Linked DNA regions of Rattus norvegicus. The protein of the gene in region 1 interacts with the protein of each later gene in a pairwise test. Links are inferred from orthologs where the notes say so. Each region holds a gene or a part of one and is shown on either strand. Other genes may lie near its edges.

Region 1 (7,640 bases):
GACAGCCTCAACACTATCACACACCCCTGCAATGCTGGACCTGTCACTCAGGCGTAGAAGGGAACTTTTGAGCTCCTGGTCCCAGGGCTGGGCAGGCCCACTTCTGGGTGTGTGAACTATGCTGACTCTGAGGCTATGGCCCAGTATTCTGACCACTTCTCAATGCCTGCTTCTCACCTGTCTCTTTAGTGGGGGCTCACATACAATTAACCTTCACCCTTTGAGAAAACCCTGGGGAAACTGACCTACTGAGGCAGAAATGGTCTGATCTGGTGCCGGCATGGATGGTCAGGCCATTTTGGGGAGACCAGATGTTTGAGATAGCCCATAAAGAAACTCAAAGCAATCGTGAGTCAGTTCTGTGAGAGAAGCTTAAATTAGGGCCTCTTGTTCCTCTTGTCAGAACTCTGCTGTCTCCTTGAGCTGCCCCTGTCATGGCCCTAGTGGTCTTTGCACCTGCTGTGGCTTTGTGTTAATTTTCCAATGGGTGTCAAAGCAGCTGAGGTGAGCACCTCAGCAGCATAGGGGGGTCTCAGTGTCTGAGGCTGCTCCTAGACAAAGGTGCTTCAAGTCTTCAGCAGAGCTGGCTCATGCCATTGGCAAGCATCCCTGGGACACATGACATAATCAGGCGATCAGGGTAATCTTTCCTAGTTTCACAGAAAAAGAGTGGCCCTGGGCCAGCCAAGGTGGCTCTGCATAAGCCCAAGTGATACCTTGTCTCTTCCTTCCCATCAGAGCTGTATCCAAACCTAGCAGAACTGGAAAGTTATATGGGACTGTCCCTCTCTAGCCAAGAAGTTCAGAAGAATCTGTCTCAGATTCCAGATGGTGACAATGTAGGTATTTGTCTTCTGCCTTATGTGGCCACTAAATTTCCTACCTTCTGGTCTTGCTATTTTAAAAGGTGTGTGTGTGTGTGTGTGTGTGTGTGTGTGTGTGTGTGTGTGTGTGTGTGTGTGTGTATGTCAACCCAGACATTCTTTCTACCATTAATTAGGACCCAGATGTACTTGTTCTAAATTATGATTGCTACTTTTTTTTTTAAAGACTGTGTCTCACTATGTAGCCTTGGCTAACCTGGAACTGGCTATGGAGACCCAAACGGCTTCAAAGTCATAGAAATCTGCCTGCTTCTGCCTTCCAAGTGCTGAAATTAAACACCCCCACCTTGGTGGCCTTTGAAAAAGATTTGTTTTATTTTTATGTATATGATTGCCTGTATGTATGTGTACTACATGTGTGATTGGTACCCAAGGAAGCCAGACGAGGATGTCAGATCGCTTGATCTAGAGTTACAGAAGGTTGTGAGCCACCATGTGGGTGCTGGGTCCTTTGCAAGAGCACCAGATGGTCTTCACTGCTAAGCAGCCTCTCTCCAGCCCTACACTTGGCAATTTTTATCACTGTAATTACTTTCCATGTTTAAAGTGTTTTTGTTTTTAAGTAGAGGGTCCTAGGAGGTTGCAAAGACAAACTGTCTATTTCATCAAGTGTAGCTTTCACATCCGCAGTACAGTAGCAAGACTAACAACTTACACTAGTAGAGTGTGTGTCTATAGCTCTGTCAGCTTACCCCTGTTCAAATGAAGACAGTCACTCACCCATCTAAAGACAGGACCGTCCCTCTTCAGAAAGCGCTCCTCCTATCCTATCCACCTTCGTGGTCACACCTACATCCTCCCTAGCCCCTGGCAACCTCTCTCTCTCTCTCTCTCTCTCTCTCTCTCCCTCTCTTTAAAGATTTTATTTATTATATATAAGTACACTGCAGCTGTCTTCAGACACATCAGAAGAGGGCATCAGATCTCATTACAGATGGTTGTGAGCCACCATGTGGTTGCTGGGATTTGAACTCAGGACCTCTGGAAGAGCAGTCAGTGCTCTCAACCGCTGAGCCATCTCTCCAGCCCAATTTCTCTTTTTTCATTCCTTCCTCTTCCTCTTCCCCCTCCCTCCCCCCCTTTGGCAGTACTCAGAAACTCACGGATGTTGGGCAACTGTTCTACCACTGTGCCACACTCCTAGCCTTGTTCTCCCAACTTTGTTTTTCTGTCTGAATAATTTTATCATTTCTGAATGTTATCTAAGCATACATCAGAAACGATGACTCTTAGGGGATGTCGTATGCTTGTGTTATGTCATGTATCTGTGGTATATGTGCATGTGGGTGTAGGCTAGGATGTTGTATACATGTTGTTGTATGTATGTGTTATGTTGTGGGTTATGTTGTGGGTCTGTGGTGGGTCTGTGTTATATGCGCATGTGGGTATAGACTAGGATGTTGTATACGTGTTGTTGTATGTATGTGTTATGTTGTGGGTTATGTTGTGGGTCTGTGGTGGGTCTGTGTTATATGTGCATGTGGGTGTAGATTAGGATGTTGTATATGTGTTGTTGTATACATGTGTTATGTTGTAGGTCTGTGTTATATGTCCATGTGGGTGTAGACTAGGGTCGATGTCTTGTTCTGTCTCTTCTCATCTTTATTTTTTGAGACAGGGTCTCTCGTTGGGCCTGAAGCTCATTGATTCATCCAGGCTGAGTACTGAATGGCAGGGATCTGCCTGTCTGTCTCCCCAGTTCCCCAGCTTTTTATGTGGGTTCTAAGACTCTGAATTCAGGTCCCCATGCACACATAATTGGCACTCCTTTTTTTTTTCTTACTCCTTTTTACAGTTTCTTAGTCTTATATACGAAGGCATTTATGACATAGCAGGCTGGAATACAGTCATCACACAATGTGGTAAATGAGTGTTCACAGGCAGCTGCTCTCAGGCTATCTTCTGGAGGGGCTGTCTGTGCATTCCCCTCCCCTGCCAGTGGTGCCAAATATACCCAGTGCCTTGACATCCTCCCCAGCACTTGGCATCATCACGAGTTATGACAGGTCTTCACCTGCATTCTCCTAATGGTTAGTGATATGGAATATCTGATTATGTCCCCACTGCATGAGACAAGGTCTGGCCAGGCTGTTCTTGAACTTCTGACCCTCCTGCTTCCAGCTCTCAAGTGCTGGGGCTCCGGGTGTGAACCACACCTGGTCTGTGTGGTGTTGGGGATTAAACCTTGTACACTCTCCAGGCCGAGCCAAATCACCAGCCCCATTTCATGCATTTTAATTGGACTTTTAAATGTTGGCTTTAGGGGTTATGTTTTATAATCTGGGGTCCTTGTCAGATACATGAGTTGTAAATACCACACCAAGTCTTAGGTTTAGCTCGTTATCTCCTTGACAGAGGAGGGGAAAACCTTTTAATTTTAATGAGGTCAAGGTTTTTTCCCCATACTTCTTTTGAGTTTGCTTTATAAAGAAAATTTCCCTAAGCCCTGAGTCCTAAAGATTTTCTCTTTTACATTGTGCTGAAATTACTACGGTTTTGTTTACATTTAACTTTATAATTGAATTTGAGTAGATTTTTGGGGAAAGTGTGCAGTTTATGTCGTGGTTCCTATTTTTGCCCCTGCCTGTCCGTTGCTGTAGTAGATCTTGTTGAGATAGTCCCCTACCCCCAACTGACCTCGACCTCTGCCACAGAGCACCCATGCTCCCCTCAGTAAGGATCTCTCTGGATTTCCCAGATAGCTGTTGACTGAGGTATCTAGAATCCGAAGCCTTGGATACTGTGACAAGAGACATCCTGGTGTGTTTGTGTGGTTTCTCACATTTTGTCTTTTGTCTGAGTAAATGTCATTACTCACATCCCTTTGTCTTTCTACCTAAAGCTAGGGGACCTTACCTGTATCCAAAACAGCCCGCAGAGCCTTCATAGAAACGTCCTTTGTGTCCGAGGCTTTGCTAGCTCTTCCTGTGTGCATAACCAGGAAACAATGTTTACTTAGGTCTGAAACGTTTCTGCATCCTAGATTTTTGTCACCTTCGGTATATAGTCTCTACATATGTCTCGTTAGATTCACACATATCTCATTTTTTTTTTCTGCCTTTTGGGGGGAGGTTGGTCAGGGTGTAGATAAATAGTTGAGTCCGTGGCTCAGGCTGACTTTTGACTCCTGAGTTTGAGTGAACCTCTTGCCTCAGCCTCATTGGTAGTTAAGACTACAGGTGTGGGGGTTGGGGATTTAGCTCAGTGGTAGAGCGCTTGCCTAGCAAGCGCAAGGCCCTGGGTTCGGTCCCCAGCTCTGGAAAAAAAAAAGAAAAAAAAAAAAAGAGAAGAAGACTACAGGTGTGAGGTCCCCATCCCAGCACAGTTGATTTTCGTATGCTGACAATGAATTCTAGACCTTGAGGAATGTTTGTATTTCACTTATAGTTAGGAGTTTTAGATTTCTGCAGACATTCTAGTGGACGATCATGGCGTCAACAGGAGCGATTGTATCTTTCCATCCTGTGTGATCTTTTCTGTTTTCTTGCCTCATTGCACTGGCCAGATTGTCCAGTCCAGTGTCTGGTGAGACTGGGCAGCTTTTGGATATCCATAGGAGGGGACTTTTGTTCATTTTAAGTTTTGAATCAGATTATTTTGTCCAAGACAAAGTCAAAACTAGCCCTGTCATCCACCTTTGACAGCTCACTATTTACTGTGAAAATGGCTTTTTTTTTAAAAGTGAAATCTAAGTGCGTCTTTTCTTGATATTAATTTCCCTTGGAAAATACAGTGACCCCTCCCTGAACCCAGCTTCCTCTCTCCCTCCTCTCATGTTTAGGGGTGTGGATTTTGATGCTCTCTACAAGTTTCATCGAGCTCCATTTTCTCTCAGCCTCTGCCAAGTGTGTAAGAGGGGAACTCAGGGAGTTTCAGTCCACTTTACTCATCCCTACCTAGAACTCAGTGACCCTCAAGGCATGGGCCCTAGTGCTTGGATGACCCCCACTCCCACTACTGTGCCTGCAGATGGTGATCACTAGCCCTGGACCTGGCCAGGTGACAGCGCCAGTATCTGGGAACGACCTAGGTGTCCTGCGTGCAGAGATCAAGCCTGGTGTGCGAGAGATCCACCTGTGCAAGGATGAGCGGGGCAAGACTGGACTGCGTCTGCAGGCTGTTGACAAGGTAAGCAATGTCTGGAGTGGAGTCCCTGCAGGAGACTGTGCTCCTCTGGTGCTAGATAGCCCTGTCACAGCCCCAGGAATACAAGTTCCCCTTTGGGACAGCCACCCAGCAGCCTGAGATGGCATTAGTATGTAGGGGCCTCCTCTTCCAGGACTCAGAGAGCCTCTGTTCACAGCAAAGAAGATTCTGAAAAGGCGTCTTAATATCTGAGGCCTCGAGATTGTGCCTTGTTGCTGCAGGGATCAGTCCCATACAAGACTCCTGCCACTCAAGAGTCCCCTATCCTCACCCCCTTTTCCTGTGCCCTAATTCCTGTGGGTCTGGCTTCCTGATGACTGTAGAGAAAAGCAGCCAGACATCTTTAGGGAGAATTGATCATGGTGCTGAAATTGTGATTCAGCTTACTCTGTGTGGTCTGCTGTGTTTCCTCTTCCAGGAAAATAGGGGTAACCTGTGTATCCCTTACAGATCTTGGGTTCCACTACACTATAAGCTCACAGGATATGGGGAAAGAAGATCATAGAGGAGGGTGGCTGACTCTGGGTCCTGCCTTCCAGGGGCTCTTTGTGCAGCTGGTCCAGGCCAACACCCCAGCATCCCTTGTGGGATTGCGCTTTGGGGACCAGATCCTGCAGATCGATGGCTGTGACTGTGCTGGGTGGAGCACACACAAAGCTCAGAAAGCATTGAAGAAGGCATCAGCAGAGAAGATCGTCATGGTTGTACGGGACAGGTCAGTGTCCAGTCCCCAGCATCCTCCCTGCCTGGCCCAGCCACACCTGAACACCCAGCTTACTGTCACTCTTTACCAGGCCGTTCCAGCGGACTGTCACCATGCACAAAGACAGCTCAGGTCAAGTTGGCTTCTTCATCAAAAAGGGGAAGATTGTCTCTGTGGTCAAGGGAAGCTCTGCAGCCCGCAATGGACTTCTAACGAACCACTACGTGTGTGAGGTGAACGGACAGAACGTCATTGGGCTAAAGGTAGGCGGTGGTGTACCTCTGTCAGGTGTACATTTCTGTCAGGAAATGTTGGCACCGTTGAGATGATGAGGGTGGGATAGCTCCTGTCTGCATAATCTGTGAAACCTGCCGGAGCCTCAACTTCCCCATCCTAAGCTTGATGCAGGCTTCAGTATGACTTCATGTGTGCAGCTCTGAGCAATGTTAATCAGAATGAGTAGATGCCTAGTAAGAATTTGTTCTGGCTGCTGGCCACAAAGACATCACCACTACCACCTCCTCCTCTTCTTCCTCTTCCTCCTCCTCCTCCTCCTCTTCCTCTTCATCCTCCTCCTCTTCCTCCTCTTCCTCCTCTTCATCCTCCTCTTCCTCCTCTTCATCCTCCTCTTCTTCCTCCTCCTCCTCTTCCTCCTCTTCCTCCTTCTCCTCTTCCTCTTCTTCCTCCTCTTCCTCCTCTTCCTCCTCCTCTTCCTCCTCCTCCTCTTCTTCCTCCTCTTCCTCCTCCTCTTCCTCCTCTTCATCCTCCTCTTCTTCCTCCTCTTCTTCCTCCTCTTCCTCCTCCTCCTCCTCCTCCTCTTCTTCCTCCTCTTCCTCCTCCTCCTTCCTCTTCCTCCTCTTCCTCCTCCTCTTCCTCCTCCTCCTCTTCTTCCTCCTCTTCCTCCTCCTCTTCCTCCTCCTCCTCTTCTTCCTCTTCATCCTCCTCTTCCTCCTCCTCCTCTTCTTCCTCTTCTTCCTCCTCTTCCTCCTTTTCCTCTTCCTCCTCTTCCTCCTCCTCCTCCTTGTGGCACTTCTCTGTGGATGCTGATCACAGTCAGTAATGGTGTCTCCTCTAAAATACTGACTTAGAAATCCATTTCCGACCTCGGCTTACTCTTCGGGGAGGGCAGATGAATTATATCTTTACGAAGCGAGAAGGTGCGCATGGCTTTAGGCACATGCTATAGATCTGGAAAGATGGGTGACTTCTGGGAACGGGCAGAGGTGAGGTGTGTGGTCTGAGCCATGGACAGATGAAAGCGACCCAGTCCTGACCTCGTGCTGCTCTACAGCGGCTGTGCTTCTCCACCTCGTGACCCCATAGTGGCCACAAGCCACTCCTATCGTGTGTCTGCTTCCTTGGGGGCAGTCTCCCCTCACCTTCTGTGGAGGCTTATTCTGGTGGCCTGTGCTGCTGTGCTCAGGAAACTCTTCTGCATCTGAGATCCCCCCCCCCCCCCGTGCCTCCTCTCTCATTTCTCTGCGATCAGCATACCAAGCAAAAGGCCACCACAGTCTGGGCTTGAAAATCCGAGTGTCGTAATGCCACTCGTGAGCAGTTTTGAAAAGCTACCAATTCAGTCACAATGCTATGAGTAGCCATGCTTGGTTGTGGGTCTTACAGCTGCACAGATGGCCCGAAGCATCAAGGGGAATTTACAGGTTACTCTGCCTACCTGTGGTACCATGAGACCCTTAGGCACCAGGCCTGTGCTCGTGAGCAGTGTCTGGTACTTACACTTTTTGAGATCAGTCATCTGATCTCAAAGTCTGTGACCATCAGTAGTCCTCTGAAGCATCTCTTCCTCAAATACAGAACCAGATTCCTTATAAATGCACAATGATGGTCACCAGGGCCTGAGCAGGGACCAGGGGCTTCATCACCACAGTGTAGTCATTCAACCGCTG
Region 2 (8,436 bases), on another chromosome or scaffold:
ATCTTGGCTTTTTACCCCAAGGGGCAGGTTCATAAAGCCTGCTCAGTGCTGGGATGGCTCAGGGACTAAGTACAAACTCTGGCCTATTCTCTTCTCACCTTCCTGGGAAGGATCTGTCAGCTGTCACTGGAGTGGGCAGCAGAGCCAAGATATTCTTCCGACCTTGTGTCTCCAGCTCCAGCTGGGTGACCTTGTACACCAAGGTAGGCAGCAGCTCCGAGGACATCAGTCATGGCTGTGACCTGAAGTGCTTTAGGAGTGATGCCCAGAAGTCAGTGCCCTACACCGAGGTCATCCTGGCTCTGGCAGCAAAGGAGGCAGCTGGGAACAAAAAAACTGAGCTCTATCCTGAGATTTCCCGTTCTGTAGATCCCAGGCTAGACCACTGACCAGGACAAACTGTTTCCAGTGCCACCAGCTGACAGGCAGAGCTGTGCTCTAGAACCTGCATTTACCAATCTGAGTGCTGTGGGTGTCTGTAGTCTCCGTACTTATTTCAGGGGATCGGAGGGAGCGCCTGCCTCCAGTGTTACTCCGTTAACTCATGGTGGTTGTCTTGGCAGCTTGCTTCCTCCACATCTCCCAGCACTGGGCCAGGCACAGAACCAAGTAACGCTTTTATCTATAGGTTGTCCCTATACCGTATCCTCTGCATCACGACTCTAAAACTTATCTCTTCAGCTACTCCCTCCTCACAGTTGCCCCCAGAAAGAACAGGGAAGGTTCTAGTCTTGCAGATGCAGAGGACCAGGACCACACAGCATGCTGGCTTTGGAGATGGGGAAGGCGCCCTGCTCCATCATGTCTCCCTACCTACATCCGGGAACTTGCCATCTTTCTGCGGGACCAGATCCCACATTAAATACAACAGTGGTCCACTGGGATGTTTGGAGAACGGGGAATGAAGATTCCAGAAGGTGGAATATAGACAGAAAAGAGCCGCCATCTTTCTAGAGTCCTACCAACAAACCCTGCTTAGTTCTCCTTCTGACCTACAACTCCCAGGTTCCTAGAGAAGACAGATCTGGCACAGCTGCCCAACACAAACTAGCTGAGATAGGCTGGCAGCACTAAGGAGCAAATGGTCACTGGAGTTAGAGCTGGAGAACACTCCAAGGATACCCAGGTCCTCGTCCAAGGACCTTGCGATTGCTGCTCTTTTGCCAGTTAAGGGAGGTCACGTGATATAAAGGGAAGTCTAATTTTCCAATATATCCCAAGGCTGAGCTGCCTGCCTCCTCCATTGCCTGAGGGCCCCTCCTCTGCCGAGCGGCCAGAGCAGGAAGCCTGTGCAGCCGGGTTGGAGGTGGGCTTTCTGGATGCCGATCCCAGCACCATCACCGGTTAGGTTCCTGGTCTGTCTGGGCTTGTCTTGCCCTTCTGTTCTGGCTCTGGTCACAACTTAGGCTCTCCCTCTTTCTACAGTCGGTCGTGACACTGGACGGAGGCAAACTGGTCCATGTGCAGAAGTGGGACGGGCAGGAGACTACGCTTACACGGGAACTAAGTGATGGGAAACTCATCCTGGTAAGATGGGCAACGACAGGAACCGTGCCTTCCTCAGGCCAGGGCCTTCCTGGGGTCGGGAGGAAGTAGGACGAGAGGCGGGGATGGGGTCATGGCTGTCACAGGTCTTGGTTCAAGCCTCAGCCTAAAAGCTATCTGACTCTGGACACGTAACCTTCTTTAACGGCCACTAGGATGCGTACAGTGACTGGAGCCTGGAGGCTACTGGAAGGCCAGTGTATTCATAGCCCAAAGCCCAGCCAAGCAGGAAGGATGCAGCAGCTGCCCACAAATGGTTCCTCCTGCTTGTGTTCCCGGGAGGAGGCAGAAAGCAGGGCCAATTGATCCCAGGAGGGGAGCAGCTGCCACTCTGTCTTCCTGAGTAGGAATGCAGGCATCTGCAGGAGCAAGTGTGTGCCTGACTGGCACTGCCGGGAGCACCCCCTCCTTATTCATGCTTTGTCTACTGTTCCTGGCTTCCTGAAAACATCTATTGTCTAGAGAGGAGGTGATACAACCAGGCCTGTAGATCTGCTTTGGGATAAGTTTGAGAGCATCCTTAGAATATAGTAGCCTTGGAGGACTGCACCTGGGCCAGGAGCATGGACCACAAAGTCAGTACCACAGCCCTTGGTGGCTCCGTGGAACCTGCTGATTGTGTATTCACACGAGACTGGGGTCCCCTCTGAGTCAGAAGTCAGGTGCCTAGTTCTGGAAGGGAGGAAACAAACAGGACCATTTCACCGGGTAATAGAGTAAGAGGAGGCCATGGCTGGTCTCTACTGAGCCTGAATACTGGATGGTCAGGGAGGAAGGGAAAGTTGGTAGCTTAGTTCCTCAAGGCTCTGGCTGCTCTTATCACCAGTTTGTCTGCCTTGCACCAGACACCCCCTTAGGCAGGTGCTGAACATAAAAGAGGAACAGGAATGTACTGGATCCTGACCAATTTACCTCTTTCAAGGGTCTATTTTCCCCCCAAATCTCTAAAATGGTAATTATAACATCTACCTTAAAAGATCTGCATCAGAAAAAAAGAAAAAAAAAAGAAAAAGGAAAGCGCCTGGCGCACAGGGGTCCCCAAGTGCAGCTCAGGATGAGGGTGGGGAGTGCTCCCTCTCCTGCTCTGCCCCATCTGACCCTGTCTTTCCTTGCAGACTCTCACCCATGGCAATGTGGTGAGCACTCGGACTTACGAGAAGGAGGCGTGACCTGGCTGCCCCGTCACTGACTGCTCCTCTGCCAATGGCTACCCCTAACTCAGCACCACGTTGCCTCATGTTTCTCCCCTCTGACGTTTTATATAAATACTCTTTGGTTGGGCTTTTCCTGGAGATATGGGACACCAGCCTGGACCCAGGTCCCATTGTGTATGTGGTTTATTTTTTAAAACTGTATCCAAAGGGTGCTCCAAGGTCAATAAAGCAGAGCCAAGGCCACCCAGTTGCCTCTGCCTTTGGTCTTCTTTCCTGTGTGTCAGTGCTGAAGTGAAGGCCTGCAGGTCACCTGGGAAGCAGGGCTGATAAGGAGCTGAGTGGACAGTCTCGGGCTCAGTGCGGAGACAGCAGCACCTATGCGAGCCTTTGCACTGACCCGCCCCTGCTCAGAGGAGCTGGCTGTCACTGAGTGGCTACTTCACATCCATCCTGCACACAACAGTCCTGGATTAGCTACGTGGTATGCTGTGGTCACCCTCTCTTTGGAGTACAAGTTCAGGACATCAAGGTCCACGCGTGGACCACTATGGTGGGAGGTGACTGCTAAGAGCCACACACTCATCATGCCCAGCAAGTCCTCAGGTTACAAACACTGGTTTCCTAGTCAGCCCAGGGGAAAGAGGTCTTCACTGTGGAAGAGAGGATTTATAAGTAATCTCAAGAAAGCTGTGACCTGCTAGTGGCCTTGGCTTTGTGCCTCTGCTTGGCCTCTTTCCAGGGTCTTGGATAACATATTAAGTGTTTTCTGTGAACTGATGTGTTAAGTCTCTAAGTCACCCAGGAAGGATTATAGGAATGAAGCCTTCTGCAAAGTTTAAAACCAAACACGTTTCCAGTTATGCCAGGAATTTAAGCAGAGGCCTGAAATGGAACCAGTCAGTCACACAGTGATAGAAGCAGAGCAATGACCTTGGCTACAGATCTCTGGTTCAGCGGTCACTGCAAACACTGTCCTCCTCACAGGCCCTGGCTGAGCGAATAGAGGCCGCAGAGTCCACCCACAACCACCCCAGACAGCAGGCAGGTCAGGGTGGCTCTTCCGCCACAGCCAGGCTCACCTCCACAGTAGCACCTGTGGCTCCAGCACAGACTCCTGCAACGGAATCCAGCTCTGGCAGTGGCAGCCGGGGTGGTACTAGACCCTTCTGCTGAATGAAGAAACTGAGCTCGTGAATGCGATGGGTGCAGGGGTCACTTGCAAAGGGATCAGGAGCAACAAGGAAAAACCATTTTGGGAGCTGCCCTCTGGCTCCCCAATCTGCTTGCTGCATGAGGAAAAGCCATCCGAGACCATGGGGACAGAGTCAGTGGGGTAGGAGGCCACATTCTCACTAGTAAGTCTTTGCAGGAGCCAAGGCTGCTGCGGCCTGCTCCACCATCATTCCTTGTGCTTCTTCTTGTGTTTCTTCTTCTTCTTTTTCTTCTTTGGAGCCTTGCTGTCTTTTGCTGTGTGCCTCGCCTTCTTGCCCGTGTCACTCTCAGAGTCAGGGCTATCACAGTCAGACGACTTCCTGTCTCTATGTTTCTTCTTCTTCTTTTCCTAAGAGGGAAATGTAAAGTTTCAACACTCGTGTGTCTGTCTCTCACATCGAAACCCCAGCGGTGACCACCAGGTAAACTACAGCTGTCTGTGGTGCTGCCTGCAATTCTAGCAGTGGGGAAGAGGGGACAGGGACGTGAGGATTTCAAGGTCAGGCAGAACTGCATAAGCCCTTGCAAAAAGAAACCAGGGTAGAGTGGTGCATGCCTGCAATCGCAGTGCTACAGAGGCAGATTTGGGGGAGTGTACATCGGGAGCTCCAGACCGGCCAGACTAAAATAAAAAGGCAGCAAAATCCCAAACGCGAGGGAGAACTAAGACACACAGCACTTGTAGACTTCTATCTTATTTGAACCACAGTGAAAGTGTGCTCATGTATACAACATAGACACGCCACTATGCACGCGAGCGTGTGTGTGTGTGTGTGCGCGCGCGAGCACACACACACACACACACACACACACACACACACACACACACCTGTGCAGGTAGTGCCCTTAGACTCCCCTGAGGCTAGAGTTAGTTGTACGTGGTTGTGAGACGCCCAATGTGGGTTCTGGGAACTGAACTTGAATAGCACTTCTCCAGCCCAGTGTTTTTTTTTTTTTTTCTTGTTGTTTTTTAAAAACAAGCAACTAGTCTTTTTCATTTGTTTTTGAGACAAGGTTTCTCTGTGTGGCCTTGGCTGTCCTAGAACTCACGCTATAGACCAGGCTGGCCTAGAATTCAGAGATCTGCCTGCCTCTGCTGGGATTAAAGGTATTTGTTTAAGTACTTGTTGGGCACGGTAGATCTCAGTGAGTTCTTGGCCAGCCTGATATACATAGTGAGTTCCAAGATAACAACAGCTGTGGAAAGAGACTCTGTCTCAAAACAAGTAAGTTTAGATCAGTCCTTTTAATGGTTAAAGTATCAGGAAAAACAAGTATTTTTGGGGGAGGAGTTTTTGAAGCAGGGTCTCATGTAGTTGAGTTGATCCTCCCGCCTAGCTTCCAGAATGCTGGAACTGCATGAGTGTACTACCAAGTCAGCCGTTTGCATTCTTTGGGAGAACGTGTACCCTAGGCTTTTCTCTCTACTGCAATTGTTATATTTATAAGTGAATGTGTGTGTATGTGTGTGTGTGCGCGCACACACACACACATACACACACACACACACACACACACACTCACACACTCTGCACTCCATAGCCCACAAGTGGCAGTTAGAGGACAGCTTTCAAGGGTTGGTTCTCTCCCACCAACTCAGGTCTCAGCTTGAGCAACACCACTGGCCCCTGCGCTATCCTTTTTAGTAAAAAACATCTTCATAAGCAAGTTTACTCTGCAGAGTATGCCATGGGAGGTCCAGAACCCTGGAGGGGTGAGGAGCTGCCACAGAGGATGGGGAACAGTCCTGATCCCCTGGTGGATGCCACTGCGATTCAAACGTGACCCTTCCCCTTAAAAGTAGCCTCCACTGACGTGCTAGCAATGGAAAAATAGCCTCTCTTCCCCCTAATTGGTAATAACTATCATGAGCTGCAAGTGGTTGGTATAAAGGAGCTTCGGAGGGAGCATGATCACGTGACTTTTCCTCACAAAGAAAGGGCAAGAGCTGTGAAAAGAAGCAGAATGTGCCAGAAAGTCTGCAGAGGTAAACAAACATTTCACATCTCTTTTTTCCCACAAGGGGGGAGAGTTCCTACAGTTAGACACCCTACACACAACCATGTCACCAGCGCTAACAGCACAAACCCAGAGTTGGTAGGTTGGTTCCCAGGCTCCTGTGGGGCAACCTGGGTAGTTCTTCACACTGAATAAGCTGCCTCCTTGAATTAAGTACCTACAGTGCCTCAGCAAAGCTCCTAAGAGGAGACTACAGGAGGAGGGCGGGAGAACAGAGCAGAGAAGCTCCTGCAGGCTTTTGTAGCCAGCATCCTGCAAGCCTGTTTGCTTGGGCCATCCACCCTGAGGTGATGGGAGGGAACAGCAAGCCAGGTGTCACGTAGACCCAGGTGTCACGCAGACCCAAGCCTGAGCTCTACTCTGCAGTCTTGGCCAGTCATCTCACCTCACTGAGGTCTAGCGCTTCAGACAGAGAACAGCTAAGAATAGCACCCACAGCACACGCTCTGATGACTCAATGAAACAGTATCCACGGCCTGGAGAAGTGAGAAGCGCTTGTCCCACATTACAGAGGTTGGACTCTGCATGCAGATGACGGGAGGATGTATCTCCCAGGAGCACTGTCCTCCTCACTCTGTACACCAGGTTGGCTCAAATTCAGAGACCCGCCTGCCTCTGCCTTTTGGGCTCTAGGATCAAAGGTATGTGCACCACCACCTGACTCAAACTAAGGTCTTGACAGCTTCTCTAGTGTCTCTCACCTCAGATCTTTCAGGTACAGTCCAATCTTGATGCGGTCGTTATCAGTTCCCTCCCCTGCCATTCATCCAATCTCTCACCTGACTGTCAGCTCTGCCTTCAAATCTACATTAGATCCTGTCTCGTCCTCTCTACCACAGTCATGACAGCACACTCCAGGCATCTTTGTCAACTGGCCTGAAGACAACTGGCCTTGCTTTCTGACCTGCACGTTTTCACATAGTAGCCAGAAAAATTATCTTTTTTAAAAAAGATTTATTTAATATATATGAGTACACTGTAGCTGTCTTCAGACACACCAGAAAAGGGCATCAGATCCCATTACAGATGGTTGTGAGCCACCATGTGGTTGCTAGGATTTGAACTCAGGACCTCTGCAGGAGCAATCAGTGCTCTTAACCACTGAGCCATCTCTCCAGCCCCCGAAAAATTATCTTAAAAGGGAAGACAGAAGCAGGTGGACCTCTGTGAATTCAAGGCCAAGCTGGTCTACACAGTAAGTTCTGGGTCAGCCATCACTACACAGTGAGACTATCAGGTCATGTCCTTGCACTGCTGAAAAGCTCTATTTAGAAAATGAATTTCCTACAACCAGCAGCCAGCCCTCTGTAGTGTCTAGGCCTCCTTGTCAGCCACTCACTCTGTACTACCTATACAGCCTCCACATTCTCCTGATGAGTGCCAAGCTCACTCCCAGCACCCAGCTACTTCAATGCTGCAGATAACATTCTGATCCAAATAATCCTCTCTTATTTTATTTTATTTTTTTGAGACAAGGCCTTGCTATGCAGCCCAGATAGGCCTTGACCTTGGAGTCCCCCAGCCACAGCCTCTCATGCTGGGACTACAGCATCGCACGTGGTTTCAGATGATAGTCTCTAAGAGTACCACCCTATCTACAATGGCAATAAAGGGCGGGCTGGGCTGTGGCCCAGTGGCAGAGCACGGGCCTACCATGCACAAGGTGCTGGGACCAGTGCCACATAGTAAACATCCCAGAGCTCTTTCTCCATGGCACTTGCCCTATCTGGTGTATTAAGGTCTCACTGTGTTTGCTTACATCTCTTCCATTAGACCACAATGCGACAACAGCAGGCCATTTCCTCATTGTGCCCCTCAGTGACTGGAACAGAAGCTCACTCGTGCATGAAGCTGAAGTACAGTGTGTGTGGAGAGAATGGCGGGAGATGACATCATACTGCAGAAGTGGATTAGTGTACCTGGGTGTACGCTCAGTATCTGGTAGATACAGACAGCAAGGCCAGGTGCTTACGGTCATCCTCCACTACACAGGGAGCTGGAGGCCAGACCACGTCCCAAAGTAGGAGTGGGTAGGGGAGGCAGGAGGATGGCTCGGCAGGATGAGCACTTACTGTACAAACCTGGTGACCCGAGTTCATCCCCAGAACCCACAGAAGAGGAAGGAGAGAGCCAACTCTACGACGTTGTCCTCTGACCTCTGACCCCTGACACAGGCTGTGGCACATGCATGCCGTCAAACACACCATAACACTGAAATAATTAACGTGTTTTTTTAAAAAGCTGAAGCACCGAGGCTTCTGAGCAGACTTTGCCGGCATCTCCTGTCTTACAGGCTTAGTATTAAATATGTTCTTCTACCTGAATACGGAAGGAAGACACTGAAGTGACTTGAGAAATGGGTGAGGTTCAGCAGCCTCCACGTGGACTTTCCAGCTGTAGTCCTGAGCCACTTGACTACACTTCACTTCCTGTCCTTTGAAGGTCATGAGAGCCAGTGGCCTCCTTGGATGTGTTTCCTTTATTGCCCTGCATACCTTAGCTGATT

Evidence for each region.
Region 2: the proteins of Sdcbp2 (region 1) and Zcchc17 interact in binary tests that used the Homo sapiens proteins (3 or more experiments, as listed by UniProt). The two-hybrid records come from large-scale screens. The link is inferred for Rattus norvegicus from reciprocal best matches to the Homo sapiens genes SDCBP2 and ZCCHC17.

The regions. Positions count from the first base shown.
Region 1 is NC_086021.1:160,549,435-160,557,074, forward strand, and holds part of Sdcbp2 (syntenin-2), read left to right. Parts: intron 1-738; coding exon 739-839; intron 840-4,853; coding exon 4,854-5,012; intron 5,013-5,569; coding exon 5,570-5,745; intron 5,746-5,824; coding exon 5,825-5,996; intron 5,997-7,640.
Region 2 is NC_086023.1:147,939,925-147,948,360, forward strand, and holds the end of Zcchc17 (zinc finger CCHC domain-containing protein 17), read right to left. Parts: intron 4,261-8,436; coding exon 4,099-4,260; 3' UTR 2,865-4,098; downstream 1-2,864. Other genes in the region: Fabp3 (fatty acid-binding protein, heart), read left to right, coding at 1,426-1,596.